4 linked regions of the Saccharomyces cerevisiae S288C genome follow. The protein of the gene in region 1 binds, or shares a complex with, the protein of each later gene. Each region holds a gene or a part of one and is shown in the gene's direction. Other genes may lie near its edges.

Region 1 (6,194 bases):
TGTGCAATAACTCCAGCCAAATATGGAATGGCTGCACCACCACAACCACCAACGGCGACGGCAACCCCAACCCCGCTCACATGTAGTCTTTTGGGCAATACTTGTAATGCAACTATACTTGCGTTTGGGAATAATGGTCCGATAAACGTACCACAACAAAAAACAACAAAAAATAACACGACGAAATAGAAAACTGAGCTTGAATTGATCAACCCAACAAGCACAAATAAGGTGTATGAAGATAGAGTTAAAAAAGCGTACGCTTTGCTTGCTTTATACTCGTTTTCGAAGAATCTTTCAGTAACAAATCCTAGACACAACCTGCCTACAGTCAAACCTGTCCAAAACGATGCCGCTATGTATGACATAGCAACCTTATTACTTGATTTAGTTTCCAATAAATAACTAAAGAACCATGAACCAGTTGTAATTTCAGCACCTAAGTAAAGGAACAAATACAATGAGTACAAGAAAATAGCAGGATTTCTTAAAAGTTCAAAAAATCCTGGGCTCGCCTTGGTAGATTCCATCAGCGAGTTATCACCCGCTTCTTCCACATCATTGTTGCTTTCTTTGTTTTCCACAGAGCAGAGGTAGTCGTATTTACTTGCAGTTTCAAATTTAAAAGCTGGGAAGATTACAATCATGCCTATTATAGAAAAGAACAGAGGAATAAGGAAAAAAAGAGACCAATGACCCCATTCAACAAAATATGAAACTAAGGGAGGAGTAACCATAGCTGCTGCCCCGTAAAGACCATGCATGATACCCATGAGTTCATTCTTATGGACTAAAAGACTGCCCATTAAAACATTACCGGTAGAATCTAAGATGCCGATCCCTAAACCAAGAGGAAGGCCACAAAACATACAAACATAGAAACTAGAAGGTGCAGTTGCTAAAATGATAAGAAATACTATACACAAACCAGCTGCTAGAAGCATACCACCTCTCATACCAAAGTGCTTATTCAATCTCTCTTTTGATAAAGACGCCATCACATAACCACATAATTGGACTATAAATACGTTTGAGACATCTACCCGCGATATATGATAGTATTCAATTAGCGTAGGAAGTAGTGCACCTACTGTTTGATCGTTCATACCAAAGACTACGAACATAATCAAGCATGCTATCACCTGCAGCTTTACTAGTGGTACAGTTTGATAGTTTAGTGGATATGTTTTAACTTTCTCGCCCTGCCAGTCAATTTCTTTGATTAAGTTTGTATTGTTAGGTAGACTATCTTCATCTTGAGAATTTCTTCTGGAGTCTGATGATGATAGCAGATTTTTCAACTCTATTGGGTTATGATGTGAAATTTCAGTTGTATACATTCCATAATCATCTACCTTTGGTGGAACCGAGGAAGCATCCATGCTGAAAACTTATATATGGATTAAATTATACTATGAATCCCTAGGATCTTATTCTTGGTTTCTTACTATAGCATTTTAGAATACTGTTGAATGTCTAGCTATGCATGATCGGAGAGTTTAAATTTTTCTGTCTCGGAACGTTCTTTTTAATTTGTCAAAAACATCGATATATAACGATGATTACTGAAAAAGGAAAACCGATTGATAATACATATGGTGCGATTGCTGGCTGAAGGCGAGTGAGCTATTGAGTGGATTTAGTTGAAAATCATGAGCTTATCACCACACGTAGAAAATGCTTCCATTCCCAAGGGGAGTACCCCGATACCAAAAAACAGAAACGTTAGTTCTATAGGCAAGGGCGAGTTTCTTGGATCTTCGTCAAGCAACAATTCTTCTTTTCGAATGAATCATTACTCAAATAGTGGACAACCTTCCGTGTTAGATTCTATACGGCGACCTAATCTAACTCCAACTTTTTCTTACAGTAATGGGGTTTATATGCCTGAAAGTCACAGAACTAGTTCATTCAACGATAGTTATTTGCCATATGATAAGAATCCTTACGCAAAAACAACCGGAAGCATGAGCAATAAATCGAACATGAAAATCAAAACAAAGAAAAATGCAATCAACACAAATACAAGAAAGTCGTCTGGACTCATTTACACCACCAAAGTGGATAAAGAATTATCTAGTATAGACAAAGTGAATGATCCAAACATTAACGGTCTTGTTTGTGCAGGTAAAACTCATTTGGGGCTCTATAAATTCTCGCCCTCAGATAGATCTATCAAATGCGTTCATGATTTCATAACACCTAATAGCAACACCTCAACAAGGGGAACGACATCCCTTTTGCCCAAGCTGAGCAAAAGAACAAGACAGAACAAATTTAGTACCATTGCGGATGTTAAGACTGGATTTAATAATTACAAGAACTGTATTGCAGTGTGCAACAATTCTACGGCGATATCGATATATGATCTCAATAAGAGTTCCTCGATAGACAATCCCTTGATAACATCCTTATGCGAACACACTAGATCTATCAATAGTTTTGACTTCAACATGGTCGAATCAAACCTAATAATAAGTGGTGGACAAGATAGTTGTGTAAAAATATGGGATTTACGTTCCAATAAATCTAAAAGCTCAAATAGATCTGACATTAGTATAAATACCGCATCTGACTCAATCAGAGATGTAAAATGGATGCCCGGTTACAATTTTGCATCTAAGAACGATCAAGGTTCATCAACGTATGGTAATTTAAAAAGCGGTTACAAATTTGCTTCTATTCACGATTCGGGATACTTGCTAAAGTTTGATCTTCGACAACCTGCCCAATACGAAAAAAAATTAAATGCTCACACAGGACCCGGTCTTTGTTTAAATTGGCATCCCAATCAAGAATACATTGCTACAGGTGGTAGAGACGGTAAATGCTGCCTCTGGTTTGTTGGCGACAATGCCAATGCCGCCGAAAATACAGTCCTCAATTACGGGAACTCTCCCTCGTTACATGCCCCCAATACGTCCTTGAACAATAGCGGCTCGCTGGCATTTCCCAAACTAACAATTAATACGGGCTATCCAGTCACTAAATTGAAGTTCAAGCCTGCTTATAGTAGTAATATATATAATTCATTACTAGGAATATCGTCAATGGGTGACGAAGCTGAAGTTCGCATCTATTCCTTGGCAAGAAAGTACATTCCAAAACATGTTCTCCTATCAGAAACGCCTTCTTTAGGATTAGTATGGTGGGACGAAAACTTGATCTTTAATATCGATAAGGGGACCCGTATAAATGGCTGGGACATTAACAAAGAACCAACAGTGCTCGAAAATTTGAGCAAAAATACAACAACTTGGAGAGATTTGGATGGTAACGGTTTACTTTCAGTTGACCAAGAGATAGGCTCATATGAGGTGGTAGAACCGGAGCTTCAACCTACCTCAAGTACCACATGCAAGAAGCATCCAGGTACAATAAAAAACCCGAAGAATGGCAATCCAGAGAACCAGGGAATAATTGGAGGGATAAAAAAAGGATTTAGCCATACTGGATTAACAAGTTTTACGCCAGAGAGGCCGCCTACTTTAAAAGCAGGCCCAACGTTTAGCACAAAAAGCTTAACATTAGCATCTGGAGCATCTTCTTTTAACAGCTCTTCCGCATCATTGACATCCCTGACGCCACAAACTGAAAATAGAGAAGAAATCGCCATTGAACCGCCTTGTATCATCACTTTGGATATACCGCAGATCTTCAATAACATAAGATTAACCAAAATCGCACATTCAAGAAAAAAGAACGTCATTTCCGAAAGTTCTTCTATGAAAAATTCTCCAGTAGAAAAGTTCAAATATTTGGCGAGACAGCTCAAGTTTTCGTATATTCGAGAGCATAATGTTTCAGACAGTGCAGACACTGCATATAAAAATGATATAGAGAACATTGACGTCGTTAAAAACGCAACCGAAACACATGGTGATAATACTACTACTACCAATAATAATGATGATGGTGATGATGATGATGATGATGATGATGATGACAAAATAATCGAAAGTCACCTTTTGAAAAAATACAATTTTCCAGAAAATAATACATGGGCTACCTTAATGAATGAAAAAGTAAATAACAAAAAATCCAAAAGAAATTCCAGTAGTTCGAGGGAGTTTGACGAGAAGGATGTCAGATCAAGTATATCTTCCATTTCTGCAAGTAGGCAAAGTCATGACAGAGCTAGGAAGATCGACAAGAACGTGGAAGCAGAACTGCAAGAAAAAATACAAACACTGGTAGATTTGATATCTATTGCAACGCATAACGCATCTGTTTATCTATCCATAGATGATCTAACCAACTTCAAAATCTGGATCTTGATAAGAGATTCATTGTTATGGGACTTGAAGTGGATGACCTCCTCCCAAATTTCATCAGATAACGCATCTAATATGGATGCCAATGAAAGCTCCGATTTCGAAGCTGGAGAAAATCTGAAAACAGGAAAAGAGTTCCCAGAGGAGGATGGTGCAGGGACAAGTGGGGCTGAGTCGTTAGTTGAAGAAAGGCCGCAGGCATTTCGTGCTAACTCTGATGAACCAAGTGATGCCGAAAAGAAACCTGTTTCTAAGCTCAAAGAGCAGCTCAAAAACACGGAAATAATCCCCTATGCGCAGCCAAATGAGGATTCAGATGAAGTTTTAACTAAGCTAAAAGAGCTACAGAACCAACGCTTGGAGTCAAGGACTAAAATGGGAGAAACAGTGAGTGACGATGTGATTATAGAGGAAGACGAACATGAACATCAAGAAGAAGAACAGCCTCATGACTCACCGACTAAGTCAGCACAATTTCACGCGTCTCCTATCGCGAAAAGTATACCAATATTGCAGAAACGTGAGCACCGCAAGTCATTCATAGATACTTTCATGTTGCATTCTCCCAACGGTTACAATGGAGATACGGACATAGGTAACGAAGATGACAATATATCTCCTAGGTTTACTTACAACAGCGTAAGCCCACGCAGTAAGGTTTCGTCGCTACAAAGCTATGCCACAACAACCTCGCAACTAGAAACTTTTAAAAAGCTTTCTTCCCATACAGCACCAATAATCGGATCGCCCAGACATGCGCCATCACGGCCAGATAGCATTGGTAGGGAACAACTGTCTTCTTCATTGACGAAAAAGCTTGCCAAATGCAAGAAAATTATCGCTGACCCACCCTGGGACACGAAAAAACTCATCAAACAACTCTACAATCAAGCTACTGAGACTGGGAACGTCGTATTGACGGTGAATATTTTATTTCTTTTCCAAACGATATACCAAATAACAGAAATCGACATTGCAAAGGACGCAATCGCTCACTTCTTGTTATTATTACATCGATACGAACTCTTCGGCATTGCTGCAGACGTCTTAAAATACTGCCCATTCGAAGATATCATGGGTTCTGAGGGTGACCAATCTTCCATTCGGTTGTTTTGCGAACGCTGTGGTGAGTTAATCACTAACGAAAGTTCTAAAGAAAAGCTCAGAGCGGAAGCTCAGCAGACGGGCAATAAGAAGATCATGGACAAGTTTGGATACTGGTATTGTGACTCTTGTAAGAAGAAGAATACATCTTGTGTTCTATGTGAAAGACCATTAAAGAAACTGACCATGGTCATCCTCCCCTGTGGACACGAAGGTCACTTCCAGTGCATACAAGAATGGTTTCTCGATGAGAATGAACAAGAATGTCCCGGCGGTTGCCCCGGTGTTGCATTCATCTAGGTTCTCCACATAATGTATAGTTTAACATATCATCACCATTGTTTAGTTAAATCGTTTAGAGTAATATTACCCGTCAAAAAGGTCGGGTAAAATTTTATTACCCTCTCCGAAAAGAAAATTTTTTTCGTCGTCAATAGAGTTTAATGCAATACCTGATAAAGAGAGTTTTACATTGCAAGAGGTAGTGTTAATTCTGGATTTATATTGTACATATGTGTTTGTGTTAGTGCTTGAGTACTTCCTAGGAGTTTTACGAAAAATAAAAGCATTTTTGTCTGAAAACTAGTGAAAGGAAGAAAAATGTCCGTTGAAGAAGTTAGCAAGAAGTTTGAAGAAAACGTTTCAGTCGATGATACCACAGCTACTCCAAAGACTGTTTTAAGTGACAGTGCTCACTTCGATGTCAAGCACCCATTGAACACCAAATGGACTTTATGGTACACAAAGCCAGCCGTCGATAAATCTGAGTCGTGGTCTGATCTATTACGTCCCGTCACTTCATTCCAAACTGTTGAA
Region 2 (3,292 bases), on another chromosome or scaffold:
TGGCGACGAAGATGACGAGGATGCCAGTGAAAGACGAATCATTCGGATATATTATGCAGCTTTGAATGATTATAAAGGAACATATTCACAAAGCAGAAATTGTGAGCGCGCCAAAAACTTGTTGGAATTAACGTACAAGGAATTTCAGCCTCATGTCGACAATTTGGATCCTTTGCAAGTATTTTACTACGTCCGTTGCTTACAATTATTGGGGCACATGTATTTCACCGGCGAAGGCTCCTCGAAGCCTAATATTCATATGGCCGAAGAGATCCTGACCACGTCGCTAGAAATAAGCAGAAGGGCACAGGGACCTATAGGTAGAGCGTGCATAGATCTGGGCTTAATAAATCAATACATCACAAACAATATTTCTCAAGCAATTTCGTATTATATGAAAGCTATGAAAACACAAGCTAACAATGGAATCGTAGAATTCCAATTATCCAAATTGGCCACTTCATTCCCTGAAGAAAAAATCGGCGACCCATTTAACTTAATGGAAACTGCCTACTTGAATGGATTCATTCCAGCCATATATGAGTTTGCAGTAATGATCGAATCTGGAATGAACAGTAAGAGTAGTGTGGAAAACACTGCTTACCTGTTCAAAACATTCGTTGACAAAAACGAAGCTATTATGGCACCTAAACTGAGGACAGCATTTGCCGCATTAATCAACGATCGTTCAGAAGTGGCTTTATGGGCTTATTCCCAACTAGCCGAGCAAGGCTACGAGACTGCTCAAGTCTCTGCCGCCTACTTAATGTACCAGTTGCCATATGAGTTTGAGGATCCTCCAAGAACCACAGATCAGAGAAAAACTTTGGCAATTTCCTACTATACAAGAGCGTTTAAACAGGGAAATATAGATGCTGGTGTTGTCGCGGGAGATATCTATTTTCAGATGCAGAATTACAGTAAAGCTATGGCTCTTTATCAGGGTGCAGCTTTGAAGTACTCTATACAGGCTATCTGGAACTTAGGGTACATGCATGAGCATGGGCTAGGTGTAAACAGAGATTTCCATCTTGCTAAACGTTACTACGACCAAGTTTCAGAACACGATCATAGATTTTACTTGGCTTCCAAATTGAGTGTTTTAAAATTACACCTAAAGTCATGGTTGACTTGGATCACCAGAGAAAAAGTAAACTACTGGAAACCTTCCTCGCCACTTAACCCTAACGAAGATACTCAGCACTCGAAGACTTCATGGTACAAGCAATTGACGAAGATTCTACAAAGAATGAGACATAAGGAGGATAGTGACAAAGCTGCGGAAGATTCTCACAAACACAGAACTGTAGTGCAGAATGGAGCTAACCATAGGGGTGACGACCAAGAGGAGGCTTCCGAGATTTTGGGCTTCCAAATGGAGGATCTTGTTACGATGGGATGTATCTTGGGGATATTCCTATTAAGTATATTAATGAGTACACTGGCGGCCCGTAGAGGCTGGAATGTCCGTTTCAATGGAGCACAATTAAATGCAAATGGTAACCGGCAGCAAGAGCAACAACAACAACAACAAGCACAAGGTCCCCCGGGCTGGGACTTCAATGTTCAGATATTCGCCATATGATGTGGTTTGTATAGATATATACATAGACTATCCATAGAAATCACCCACGCATTACCCGAAAGTTTTCAATAAAGCGAACAGCGAGAAGAAAAAAAGCGAAACCGACAGAGAATTACCACCCTAGAGCTTTAACCCCATTGAGATCAACACAATTTCGAACAGTGAAAGTGCATTGGCGAAGGTGATACAATTGGCTTCCAGCTCTGAATAATAATAACTTACAAGCGCAAAGATAACAGATAATTTTATATCAGCATACAAATGGTCGTCATAGCTAATGCGCACAACGAATTAATCCATGACGCTGTTCTAGACTATTATGGGAAGCGCCTTGCAACCTGCTCTTCTGACAAGACAATCAAGATCTTTGAAGTCGAAGGAGAAACACACAAGTTAATAGACACGTTGACTGGCCACGAAGGCCCAGTTTGGCGTGTTGATTGGGCACATCCTAAATTCGGAACCATTTTGGCATCGTGTTCTTATGATGGTAAAGTGTTGATTTGGAAGGAAGAAAACGGTAGATGGTCTCAAATTGCCGTTCATGCTGTCCACTCTGCTTCTGTCAACTCTGTTCAATGGGCTCCTCATGAATATGGCCCCCTACTGCTGGTTGCTTCCTCTGATGGTAAGGTCTCCGTAGTAGAGTTCAAAGAAAACGGTACTACTTCCCCAATAATCATCGATGCTCATGCCATTGGCGTTAACTCTGCTTCTTGGGCTCCAGCTACCATCGAAGAAGATGGTGAACACAACGGTACTAAAGAATCTCGCAAGTTTGTTACTGGGGGTGCTGACAATTTGGTAAAGATTTGGAAGTACAATTCAGATGCCCAAACTTATGTTCTGGAAAGCACCTTAGAAGGTCACAGCGATTGGGTTAGAGACGTAGCATGGTCACCTACTGTTCTTCTACGTTCTTATTTGGCCAGTGTTTCTCAAGATCGCACCTGTATTATTTGGACTCAAGACAATGAACAAGGCCCATGGAAAAAAACTTTATTAAAAGAAGAAAAATTCCCAGATGTTTTATGGAGAGCCAGTTGGTCTTTGTCAGGTAATGTACTAGCTCTTTCCGGTGGCGATAATAAAGTTACTTTATGGAAGGAAAATCTTGAGGGTAAATGGGAACCCGCTGGTGAAGTTCATCAGTGAAGAGTATCAAGAATTTAAAATGAAACATCTCAAAAGAAAAAAGAATGCAAATGAGTCTATCGACGAATTTGAAGGGAAATAAACGCATAATGTACAGTAACGTATAACAATTAAAGATTTGTGGAAGTTTTCAAAAACTTTTCAACTTTTTTCTTTGTTTTTTTTTTGCAACTTCTTATATTAATATTGTCATAGATATTTCTTATACAAAAACAAGCGAACAAAAATAATCGACGTATATACAATAGATATATAAGACTGTTTTTCTTCAATAGAACAGGCGAAATTATTCTACCGGCCGAAGGTACATCTTCCCGCTATGTAATAAATAGAGGTATTTAAGTTATAACAATTATAATTCCCCCATTACGGCAGCAATTAAGTTTTGCACGTCATTAGAGGCGATTTTACCATTCTCCAGTACTTCAGCGTGAGTCGCTTTGCCTTTTTCTAAGGGTACAGGTGATTCGTCCAACGCACTGGCAGGGCTATCCACCACGCAAGTATTGGTAATCAAACTTAAGGCCAAAACCCTCCATCCGCAATGTCTTG
Region 3 (7,219 bases), on another chromosome or scaffold:
TGATCAATCCTACGTTTGAAGGCAATACGCTACTGAATTCCGCGTCATATGGTGACAGGTTAACAATGACAGTGGTAATTGACTCTTTACCTTTAACCAGTTCAAAATTTGTCAATGAATCAGTAGCTTCTGATAATGCTACTTTAGTCTCTTCGTTAGCAATCTCCAAGGTAGGAAAGTCGATGTCTTGTTCAATAGCTGTACTCGTGCCAATTTTCTCCAAGTTAAGAAAATGGAAAACTGGGGTCAGAGAACTTGTAGCAATCTTATAAGAAGAGTCCGCGTTTGAAATTGCAGTTTGCAAATCAGAAGATATTAAGATGGGGAAAGAAAGATCCTTTAACGCAGGAATTGCGGAATAATCTTGCAAATTCAAATCCACTGTAATCACCAATGGAAGTTTATTAGGAAGAGAATATAGATGGTGGATGGATTTGACCAAAGTAGTTTCATCTGTAAAAACGGTAGTTAAAATGTCCTTAGAGAGTTGATCTTTGATGGTATTCAATGGATCTTGATTGTTCAATAGATGAGTAGCATCTGTGGCAACAGATTCTAGCCCTTTGAAGGATGAATGACTATTTTTTGTGCTAGTAGTGTAGAACACTTTATTTTGGGGAGCACTAGAGGAATATTGCGCCAACAATTGTGGGAGCGTCAAGAGGTCAGAAGCAGTCATTCGCCAATCTTTTGTTTTTCTCTGGTTCCCGTTCCCTACTGTTACTTTATTAGTATATAAGGGATCTGAATAAATATCAAGACGATGGAAAAAAAATAACAAGCAAAGGAACCTTTCTATATCCCAATTTTATTTCACATTAAAAACTATCGTCTTCCAACACTTTATATAACTGCTTGCAGCGGCCAGTAATTCGTCGCATCTCCATGACTCAAATTTTCCAGTGTCTCTTAGCAGTTAAACCATTCCTGCCTCTGTGTGGTGGTAATTGTGGCATTATGAGTTAAGAGATAATACGCACGTGATGAAATTCATTCTGTGAAATATCACGTGGACAAATTATATTACCCGGATTCATAAATCCACGTATTTTACCTGCATCTTTATTGAGTGCTTAGTAAAAGTCAGTTGGTGAAATTCCGCAGATAAAACAGCATATTAGTTGCCTGAAAATAGCCTTATGTGTTGGTTTGATACGTCTTTGTCATTATATACCCAAAGGTTTGTAGTTCATGTTGCGGGTTGGTATGAATAAATTTTTCGTATTTAGTGATTATAATACTTATTACCCATTTCGGCGGCTAATAAGGAATCTGCTAAGATAGGTAAATGTACAATACCATCAATGGCTTCTAAAAGTTTTCAAAGAAGTGGGATAAGGGATGAAAGTTGTGCGTGTGTTGGTTACTTAGGTTCTAATTTGGCTTCAATTTGAAGTGAGATGTTTTGTTTAACATTAGTTTCAAATTAACAGCTTTTGTGAGAAAATATATTTTGGATGAATAGCAGAAAATAGAAATCTGGAAATAAACAAAACAGAGCCAAAATTCTAAGCTTAATAACATGAATATTTGTTTATCTAGCATCTTGTTCCTCCCACTCTTTTTCCGAAAATATGGCTAGCCAACTTAGGTGAATGGGGAAGGGTACTAGATTCATTCATTTATTTCTATTCAAGGACAAGAACTTTTAACATAGTAAGACCTTTATGTTAGTTTGGTGCGGCTGACAAATTCATAGCTAATGTGCTAGAGCTCTTATATTGGTAATTACTAATCCTTCATTGCTATTATGACTATCACATTATAAGGTAATGAAAAATTAAATCATTGTGTACGGATTAAGTCCTTTCTCTAAAAGAGATCACGTGACTATTTGAATCACTATCTATGTTAATCATTATTGTTTAAAAGATAGTAAGTGACAGAACAACGAATTGTTTCTGTAACTACTTTTTAAGCAGGGAAATAACTCAGCACTGACAAGGGACACTTTTTAAGGATGTTCGCTAAATTGCATGGGAAGAAACAAAGACCAATTTCTTCCATCAATTCACAAACTCCAAGGACTAGCAATACTACTCACGCAAATAGCATATCCTTATCATCGGGTAATTTGATAGTAGGTTCCAATAGAAATTTAAGACAAAAGAAAGAGCAGTTTGGTTCTCAACAAAGGGCTTCCGGCAGAAAGCTGATTTCAAATAAGGAAAATGACGATAACGTCAACAATGGTGGTGACAACAATTATGACAATGGGGAACGGGTCCATCGCCATCATATTCCAGGACTGAAAATAAAGGCGTATCAAGCTGAATTAGGCTATCATGAGTCCCGATTTTCCGAGAATTTAGTGATGCTAAATCTAGTTGAGTTCCCGGATATAAAACCTGGTGATTTGGTAGAATTGAAAACATATCACAAAAATCCATCTGCATCGAACGGAGATAAGAAAATTTATTTTATTGCAAAAGATTTTGACGGAGAGACTAAAAGAAGGGCAAAAACATCTAATGTTTCAATACTTTCGGGTCAACTGCAAACTTTGTTAGATTTGCCTTCTAGGTCTAGGATATGGATAAAATTGAAACCAAACAAATTTGACTTACAGGCAGATGTGGTAGAGTTTAATATCAAAGATTGCCTACTAAATAGAGGTGATATGTGGGTTCTATCATCTAAGCTGGTAGATACATGTGTGTTTATGGATCAAAGACTGGCATTCTTAGACTCTATCAGAGGTACTATTAAGGGAATTTATCGAAATGGTAAGAAGATTGTTTCTGGATATATTGGCGAACAAACAAGGATAATTTTTCGGTCCGAATCTGCCAGATTAATTTTTTTGATTCAAATAACTGATGAAATGTGGAACTTCGAAGAAACTGGTGAACAATTATTTCAAAAGATGGTTAATTCATTTTTCCCGAAGATCTTCAAAAAATGGAAAGATGTGGACACCCACCATACTATCACTATAGCCTTCGCTATATCAATGGACTTGTCTGATACATCATTCAAGGACTTAACACCCGGCGAATCTTTGAAAAATTCACAGGATTATTTTAGGATAGTTGTAGATCAAGTCAGTATTATCCATTGGGTTGATATTATGGAAACATTAAGAGAAGAATTTATGGAAATCAGAAAAGATTTATTAAACAAGCAAACGGATAAGGGTTACAGTGTAGCGAATGGAAGATTTTCACCTGTAATCAAGTCGAATTTTCTCGAATTGGTCAATTTTGCCACGACAATTTTAACGGATCCTTTCAAGCAATTAGATCTTCGACACACTACAACGCACGTCATGATTATTTCACCAGGGTCTGGATTATTTGACGTTGATTATAGTTTATTAAGGCTAACAGGAAAAAAACTACTCTCTCTTGAAATGACGATGGATTTAATATGTCTTTCAAAAGCTCCATTGCACATAGTTCCACTTTTTAGGTACCGAGACTTTGAGAACAAGCTTCATCATTGTGTACCGCTTTGGTTAAGTGTTTTCTTTTGGAATGATCATGACAAAAAGAGTAACTCAGAATGGACTCCAAGATGTAAAATTTATGACTTACAAATGATGGGGATTACTGAAAATGAGTTAATTCGGGAAGTGGATGTTGAATATTTACAGCTGAACAAGAAAGTCAAATCACTATCCGAGTTTATGAATGATTACGACAAAAATGCCTTCGAGGTGAAAATTTTATGCGCTGGCTCTAATACGAAACAATCTAAGAAATTAAATTCAAAGTTTGATACCGTCTTCGAGAATGATGTTGTTGTGAAGGCAAGGAAAATCCCGGCAACAGCAACAACAACACACGGTAACACAAAATTCATATGGAGAGGTCCAAAAGTTGCTCTCCCAGCCATTAAGGATATTCAAAAACCAAACGTAATACCAGATCTATCAATAAAAACAATAGAGGCCTCTTTTTATGATGATTGTAATACTACAAATGATAAAATTAGCACTCCCACCACTTCTAACAATGACAATCTCGAAATGAATGACTCATTGGTCTCTGTGAGATCTGCTGATAACCAAAACACATCTTTGGCGCTGGATTCGCTCAAAGGACTAAGCAAAAGGAACTCATTGAAAGATTTTACTCAAAGAGTAATTACAAAATTTATTTCGAACATAGACACAAGTAAAAATAAAAAAATAAAGTCAACATTACTCAGAGATGATGTGGATAACTCACCTTTAGGTTCAAATACACCACTACCATCTTCTGAAAGTAAAATAAGTGGCCTGAAATTACAACAAAAAGGCCTGGCAGATGAAAACGTTATCAGTAAACGTGGAAATTTGATAATAAAGAAAAACCTATCCATTTTTGGGCTACCTAGTAATGAAATCATGAGTGGTTCACCCTCCTCATATTTAGGCTCATCACATACCAGAACATCCTCTAAACTTTCTAATATGTCAGACAAGGCTGCTTTCATTACAGAAGGGCAAAAATCAAAACATGATGACTCGAACACTTATAGCCTCACACAGCAATTGAAACATCGTATAAGTGAAACTTGGGTGGATATTAAAAGTCCTTCCATTCCGGTAAGTAGTGAATTTGCCAACGAATTATTGCCTATACGTTGGAAAGATGTATGGCCAAAATATGTGGCCAGAAAATATAGTAAATGGAGGTCTTTTACAACCCCAGCAGAGTTACCAATCACAATTTCTGATTTTCCATCCAAGGATGATTTTGATAGGAACTTCATCTTCAGAAATCACTCAGTGACTTTAAACACAGATCAAGAACAATATAATCAGACATACAAAGACTTACTTCGTGATATGATTTATATGCGACTGTTAACTGGTTTTCAAATCTGCGTGGGCCGACAAGTAGAAAAAATAGAACTTTCTAGGGAAAGTGGTGAAAGTGAAACTGTAGTCAACAAGTATTTAGATTTCAATCAAAATGATGCGTTCAAACTTTATCTAATGATCGACTCTGAAATACACAGAATAACATGCTCGTCAAGTGGAATTATTGATGTGGAGAGGTATTTGAGAAAAGATGAAGCAAACTTGTTTGATCAGGTTCCTAGTTATATTCCGTTGGTTAAAACGAGATACGAGAGCTCATTTCGTGATGCTATGATTGACCCACTTCATGTTAAAAGAGAATCTTTGAACTGGAATCAAATTGATCAGGTTCTAGCAGGTTATGGCGATAACTTAATAGATAGGAAATGGCACGGATTTCGAGCTAAATATGTGGTGTTACCAACAGATATCCCTCCCAACACATATTCTATGGTTATCAATGGTAAAAGCGAAACTTTAAACCCAGAAGAAATCAGAGTCGAGGGTTTGAGAAGATTAATTGGCTCAATAACGAGGTCAAGACTAAGAACAGAGAAAGAAAAAAAAGGAAGAAAAACTAAGAGAGAAGAAATACAGCCTGAAGTTATGTTTTACACCGGCCCGCTTTACAACTTCATTAATGAGCAACAAACATCTTTAGAAAGCTCGGCTATAAATTTTAAAGATTCAATTTTTGTTAATGATAATAACCTTTTAAACAGAAATGTAGAACTATCCAAGTTGGCGTATCAAATTCAACGTGGCGAAGATCGCATTACTTTAGTCAACAGAAAATGGCACTGGAAAAAGCATGAAAAGTGTTTTGTTGGCTCGGAGATGGTTAATTGGCTCATAAGAAACTTCTCTGATATAGATACTCGAGAAGATGCAATTAAATATGGGCAGAAGGTGATGAAAGAGGGATTATTTGTTCACGTTTTAAATAAGCACAATTTTTTGGACGGGCACTACTTTTACCAGTTCTCACCTGAATACGTAATGGACACTAATAAACTAGAAAAAACAAACTCCCATCGCTCTACATTATCCGATCCAAAGCAGATGTTGAGAAAAGCATCCACTGGTAGCTCAAACGATCCAAGCGCTATGACTCCTTTTTCTTCAGTAGTACCTGCTATAAGCGCTTCGAATGCTTCAGTTGCTGACGCCAAAGAGCCATCACGCCCTATTTTAATGCTGAGTAACTCTCTTGTTATCGATGTTGATCCCGCGGGAAAATCCTCGAAACAAGAATCGTGTACAGTCCATTATGACAGAGTTCATAACCCCGACCACTGTTTTCACATAAGATTGGAATGGTTGACTACCACCCCAAAATTGATCGATGATTTGGTTGGGAACTGGTCAAGGTTATGCGAAAGGTACGGTTTGAAAATGATTGAAATTCCTTGGGAAGAACTTTGTACTATCCCTTCGGTCAATCCATTTCACTCTTTTGTGGAAATTAAGTTAGCTATCAATCCTTGGGAAGATCCTGAGTTCAAGGATAGGGAGCTTTTCGCTAAAAGCAAATTCTACTACCACGTTTATCTTTTAAAGGCATCTGGGTTTTTATTAGACAATAGGGCATCCAAATTTTTACAAAATCAAGATATAGAGTTTGACATCATGTATTCATGGGGCAAACCACAGTTCAAATATGTTCAATATATTCATCATACGGGTGCTTACGTCGCGGAATTGAGGGAAAATGGCTGCCTATTTTTAGCTCCTAACAACATTTATATATCCAGAGTGAATCCGGGAAACATAATCGGGAAAATTCATTCTGCTTCAAGCTCTTCATTAGATGCTCAAAAAGTGATCCTAAATTTCAAATCAACTTGCTTGGACTATCAGAAGTTAAGGTCAATTTTCCTTGACGCAAAGGAAATGTGGATTACAGGAAAGATTGTAGAAGATTGAGTAGCCCCATGACATGGATGAGTTTCTTCACAAAGTAAATAATATTCGAACGTGGATAGTAAAGCATAATGTTATCTATTTATATATAAATATACCTATGTTTTTATATGTCTGTTTACTGATCTAAAGTCTTTGAGCAATCTTGATAACATCACCCAAAACACCAGCGGCAGTAACGGCAGCACCGGCACCGGCACCTTGAATGACAACAGGATTGGTGTAACGCTTAGTCTTGATGGAAATAACGTTATCTGATCCCTTCAATGATGCGAATGGGTGTGAGTAATCGTACTTTTCAATTCCTACAGACACAGATTTGGTGGCAACATCGACTTTACCAATGAATCTCAATACCTTATTTTCAGTGGCAGCTTCCTTCTTCAATTGAGTCAAATCTTTATCGTAATCAGATAATTTTTCCAAGAATTCATCAGCAGACTTGACAGATTCCAATGGTTTTGGAATCAAAGACTGGACAGGGAAGGAAGTTGGAGATTCAACTTC
Region 4 (3,393 bases), on another chromosome or scaffold:
GTTACCACGTTTCTTTTGTTTCGATAAAATGTCCAGTTGAAAACCTGTTTTACTAACGATTTAAAAATTGTATTTCATTACAATATTTTTTTTGTACAGCCGGTAAAGGTCGTATCGGTAAGCACAGAAAGCACCCCGGTGGTAGAGGTATGGCCGGTGGTCAACATCACCACAGAATTAACATGGATAAATACCATCCAGGTTATTTCGGTAAGGTTGGTATGAGATACTTCCACAAGCAACAAGCTCATTTCTGGAAGCCAGTCTTGAACTTGGACAAATTGTGGACATTGATCCCAGAAGACAAGAGAGACCAATACTTGAAATCTGCTTCTAAGGAAACTGCTCCAGTTATTGACACTTTGGCAGCCGGTTACGGTAAGATCTTGGGTAAGGGTAGAATTCCAAATGTTCCAGTTATCGTCAAAGCTAGATTCGTCTCCAAGTTGGCTGAAGAAAAAATCAGAGCTGCTGGTGGTGTTGTTGAATTGATCGCTTAAGCGCATCAACAAAAACTCTATGTATTTTCCAATAAATTATATATCTTCAGTTTAATCTAATTCAACATCTACTTCTGTATTATTTCTATCACCCATTTTCACCGTTTTTTCGTCTTGTCTATTTTGAAGTTACCAGTGGCAGATCCCAACGCTTTTATCGCTTTTTTAAAAGATTTTCAAAATCCATATATAAACATAGGGTCCAAAAAGAAAACAAATAACAAAACAAGAAAACCTATTCGAGGTAAAGACCAGGAAAAACAAAATGACTGCAGTTAACATCTGGAAGCCAGAAGATAATATACCTAGGGAGATTTTGGCAATTCTTTCGAAACCTCACCCAAATTATCAGTTAGCGTTTTTGAATATTATACAACTTTTGAAAACGCAAAGAAGAACTGGTTGGGTTGACCATGGTATTGACCCATGCGAAAGTATATCTGACCATATGTACAGAATGGGTTTAACTACCATGCTGATTACGGACAAGAATGTTGATCGTAACAAATGTATCAGAATCGCACTTGTTCACGATTTTGCGGAGTCATTAGTTGGTGATATTACACCTAATGACCCAATGACAAAGGAAGAGAAACATCGCAGAGAATTTGAAACTGTCAAGTATCTCTGTGAAAGCATAATAAGGCCCTGCAGTGAAAGCGCATCTAGGGAAATTCTTGATGACTGGTTAGCATACGAAAAGCAGACCTGTTTGGAAGGAAGATATGTCAAAGATATTGATAAGTATGAAATGTTGGTTCAATGTTTTGAGTACGAACAAAAGTATAATGGCAAGAAGGATTTGAAACAATTTTTGGGAGCCATCAATGATATAAAAACTGATGAAGTTAAAAAATGGACACAATCTTTACTGGAAGATCGACAAGCCTTTTTCGACAGTTTGAAGGAGTAATAATGTGGCCTTTTGAAAGAAAAGTTAGTGCTTTTTTTTCTTTTCTCAAACCTTCACCTGGTGGTGCGTATCATTTATAATAACATCTTGATGCTTTTCAACGAGATAGTGCCCATTTTATTTTGCATGTATTATACTTCCAGCACCCGGTGTGCATTATATGTAACTTTAGAAATAATCTTTTGTATATTATTCGCGATTGAATGTGCGTGCTGCATTATCAACCAAGTTTTAATATATCTGTTTCTCTTATTTATTGTTAGTTAAGTCTTCGGCAAAACGATGGAAAAAATCATGAACTGAATAGAGACAAGTAAACCAAATTATAAACAAGGTTTCCCTTCTGAAGAGATACTAAGGAAGAAGAAGAACGACCCAATAATATTTCTGAATATGCAACCATTTGATAGTGGGCATGATGATTTAGTTCATGATGTCGTTTATGACTTTTACGGAAGACATGTGGCAACATGCTCTTCTGATCAACATATTAAAGTTTTTAAATTAGACAAGGACACGAGTAATTGGGAACTCAGTGACTCATGGAGAGCTCACGACAGTAGTATCGTGGCCATTGATTGGGCCAGTCCAGAATATGGGCGCATCATTGCTTCAGCCTCTTACGATAAGACGGTAAAATTATGGGAAGAAGATCCCGACCAAGAAGAATGCTCTGGCCGTCGTTGGAACAAGCTGTGTACCCTGAATGATTCCAAAGGATCACTTTATAGTGTAAAATTTGCGCCAGCGCATTTGGGCTTAAAATTAGCTTGTTTGGGTAACGATGGAATCCTCAGACTTTATGATGCCTTAGAACCTTCTGACCTAAGGTCATGGACACTGACTTCTGAGATGAAAGTGCTATCTATACCACCAGCAAATCATTTACAGTCTGATTTTTGTCTCTCTTGGTGTCCTTCGAGATTTTCTCCTGAAAAGCTCGCAGTCTCTGCATTGGAACAAGCGATTATATACCAAAGGGGTAAAGACGGTAAACTTCACGTTGCAGCAAAACTTCCCGGTCATAAAAGTTTAATAAGAAGTATCAGCTGGGCTCCTTCCATTGGTAGATGGTATCAACTCATTGCAACAGGTTGCAAAGATGGTAGAATTAGAATTTTCAAAATCACAGAAAAACTAAGTCCCCTGGCCTCAGAGGAGTCTTTAACTAACTCAAATATGTTTGATAATAGTGCTGATGTTGACATGGATGCACAGGGCAGATCAGACTCAAATACCGAAGAGAAAGCTGAGCTACAATCAAACTTGCAAGTTGAACTTCTAAGCGAGCATGATGACCATAATGGCGAAGTTTGGTCCGTGTCTTGGAATTTAACGGGTACAATCTTAAGCAGTGCTGGGGATGATGGGAAGGTACGTTTATGGAAAGCCACTTATTCAAATGAATTTAAGTGTATGTCAGTAATTACTGCCCAACAATAAATAAGAATATATGTATACATAACATTATATATTGGTACTTTATACGTGTGCATTATTCTGTATAATACGAGGCAACAGATGAATCAAGAAAGATGATGCTTTTAAAAAGCTCTTACAAATATAATGATATTACATCAAATGATATTATTATTCTTGATATTGGGTATTCTTTCGAATTATATCAAGCTTCCCTTCCCTCGCCTTTTCGCCTGGAAATTTTTCAATGCCGAGATTAAAAAATTTGTCAATGAAAATGCATTCTACTACTTAATAAAGAGGTGATGAGCTTATAAGCCAACTTCTTTTAAACACAAAACTAAATCTGATATTGAGGACCCCCACCAACTATGCCACCAAAAGAAGCTCCCAAGAAATGGAAGGCGCCAAAAGGGCCAAAACCTACCCACCGTAAAAATAAAAATAAGCTTGAATTAGGCAGAGCTATTAAATATGCACGTCAAAAAGAAAATGCCATCGAGTATTTACCTGATGGTGAAATGAGGTTCACTACCGATAAGCATGAGGCCAACTGGGTTA

The links.
Region 2: RTC1 (region 1) and SEC13 share a complex: the UniProt entries of both Saccharomyces cerevisiae proteins name them as parts of the SEA complex.
Region 3: RTC1 (region 1) and IML1 share a complex: the UniProt entries of both Saccharomyces cerevisiae proteins name them as parts of the SEA complex.
Region 4: the proteins of RTC1 (region 1) and SEH1 are in contact, whole or in part, in a cryo-EM structure (PDB 8ADL), measured with the Saccharomyces cerevisiae proteins. Residues at the interface, in NP_014503.2 of Saccharomyces cerevisiae: Ser128 (codon at 2,034), Asn439 (codon at 2,967), Thr440 (codon at 2,970), Gly441 (codon at 2,973), Glu470 (codon at 3,060), Arg474 (codon at 3,072), Arg480 (codon at 3,090), Tyr482 (codon at 3,096), Ile483 (codon at 3,099), His486 (codon at 3,108), Val487 (codon at 3,111), Leu489 (codon at 3,117), Pro523 (codon at 3,219), Val525 (codon at 3,225), Leu526 (codon at 3,228), Glu527 (codon at 3,231), Asn528 (codon at 3,234), Leu529 (codon at 3,237), Ser530 (codon at 3,240), Lys531 (codon at 3,243), Asn532 (codon at 3,246), Thr533 (codon at 3,249), Thr534 (codon at 3,252), Thr535 (codon at 3,255), Trp536 (codon at 3,258), Arg537 (codon at 3,261), Asp538 (codon at 3,264), Leu539 (codon at 3,267), Asn542 (codon at 3,276), Gly543 (codon at 3,279); in NP_011415.1 of Saccharomyces cerevisiae: Met1 (codon at 1,807), Gln2 (codon at 1,810), Pro3 (codon at 1,813), Phe4 (codon at 1,816), Asp5 (codon at 1,819), Ser6 (codon at 1,822), His8 (codon at 1,828), Asp9 (codon at 1,831), Asp10 (codon at 1,834), Leu11 (codon at 1,837), Val12 (codon at 1,840), His13 (codon at 1,843), Asp14 (codon at 1,846), Val15 (codon at 1,849), Val16 (codon at 1,852), Tyr17 (codon at 1,855), Asp18 (codon at 1,858), Phe19 (codon at 1,861), Tyr20 (codon at 1,864), Gly21 (codon at 1,867), Arg22 (codon at 1,870), Val24 (codon at 1,876), Thr26 (codon at 1,882), Ser29 (codon at 1,891), Asp30 (codon at 1,894), Gln31 (codon at 1,897), Leu38 (codon at 1,918), Trp45 (codon at 1,939), Arg52 (codon at 1,960), Asp55 (codon at 1,969).

The regions. Positions count from the first base shown.
Region 1 is NC_001147.6:60,809-67,002, reverse strand, and holds RTC1 (Rtc1p), read left to right. Parts: upstream 1-1,652; coding exon 1,653-5,678; downstream 5,679-6,194. Other genes in the region: BSC6 (Bsc6p), read right to left, coding at 1-1,382; CDC33 (translation initiation factor eIF4E), read left to right, coding at 5,979-6,194. UniProt on the Saccharomyces cerevisiae protein: Component of the SEA complex which coats the vacuolar membrane and is involved in intracellular trafficking, autophagy, response to nitrogen starvation, and amino acid biogenesis. May be involved in a process influencing telomere capping.
Region 2 is NC_001144.5:557,705-560,996, forward strand, and holds SEC13 (GTPase-activating protein SEC13), read left to right. Parts: upstream 1-1,846; coding exon 1,847-2,740; downstream 2,741-3,292. Other genes in the region: ubiquitin ligase complex subunit HRD3, read left to right, coding at 1-1,585; PNP1 (purine-nucleoside phosphorylase), read right to left, coding at 3,093-3,292. UniProt on the Saccharomyces cerevisiae protein: Functions as a component of the nuclear pore complex (NPC) and the COPII coat. It is one of 5 proteins constituting the COPII coat, which is involved in anterograde (ER to Golgi) double-membrane transport vesicle formation.
Region 3 is NC_001142.9:682,607-689,825, forward strand, and holds IML1 (GTPase-activating protein IML1), read left to right. Parts: upstream 1-1,960; coding exon 1,961-6,715; downstream 6,716-7,219. Other genes in the region: MET5 (sulfite reductase (NADPH) subunit beta), read right to left, coding at 1-679; HOM6 (homoserine dehydrogenase), read right to left, coding at 6,839-7,219. UniProt on the Saccharomyces cerevisiae protein: Component of the SEA complex which coats the vacuolar membrane and is involved in intracellular trafficking, autophagy, response to nitrogen starvation, and amino acid biogenesis.
Region 4 is NC_001139.9:311,428-314,820, forward strand, and holds SEH1 (Seh1p), read left to right. Parts: upstream 1-1,806; coding exon 1,807-2,856; downstream 2,857-3,393. Other genes in the region: 60S ribosomal protein uL15 RPL28, read left to right, coding at 100-500; YGK1 (5'-deoxynucleotidase), read left to right, coding at 766-1,413; ribosome biogenesis GTPase LSG1, read left to right, coding at 3,204-3,393. UniProt on the Saccharomyces cerevisiae protein: Functions as a component of the nuclear pore complex (NPC).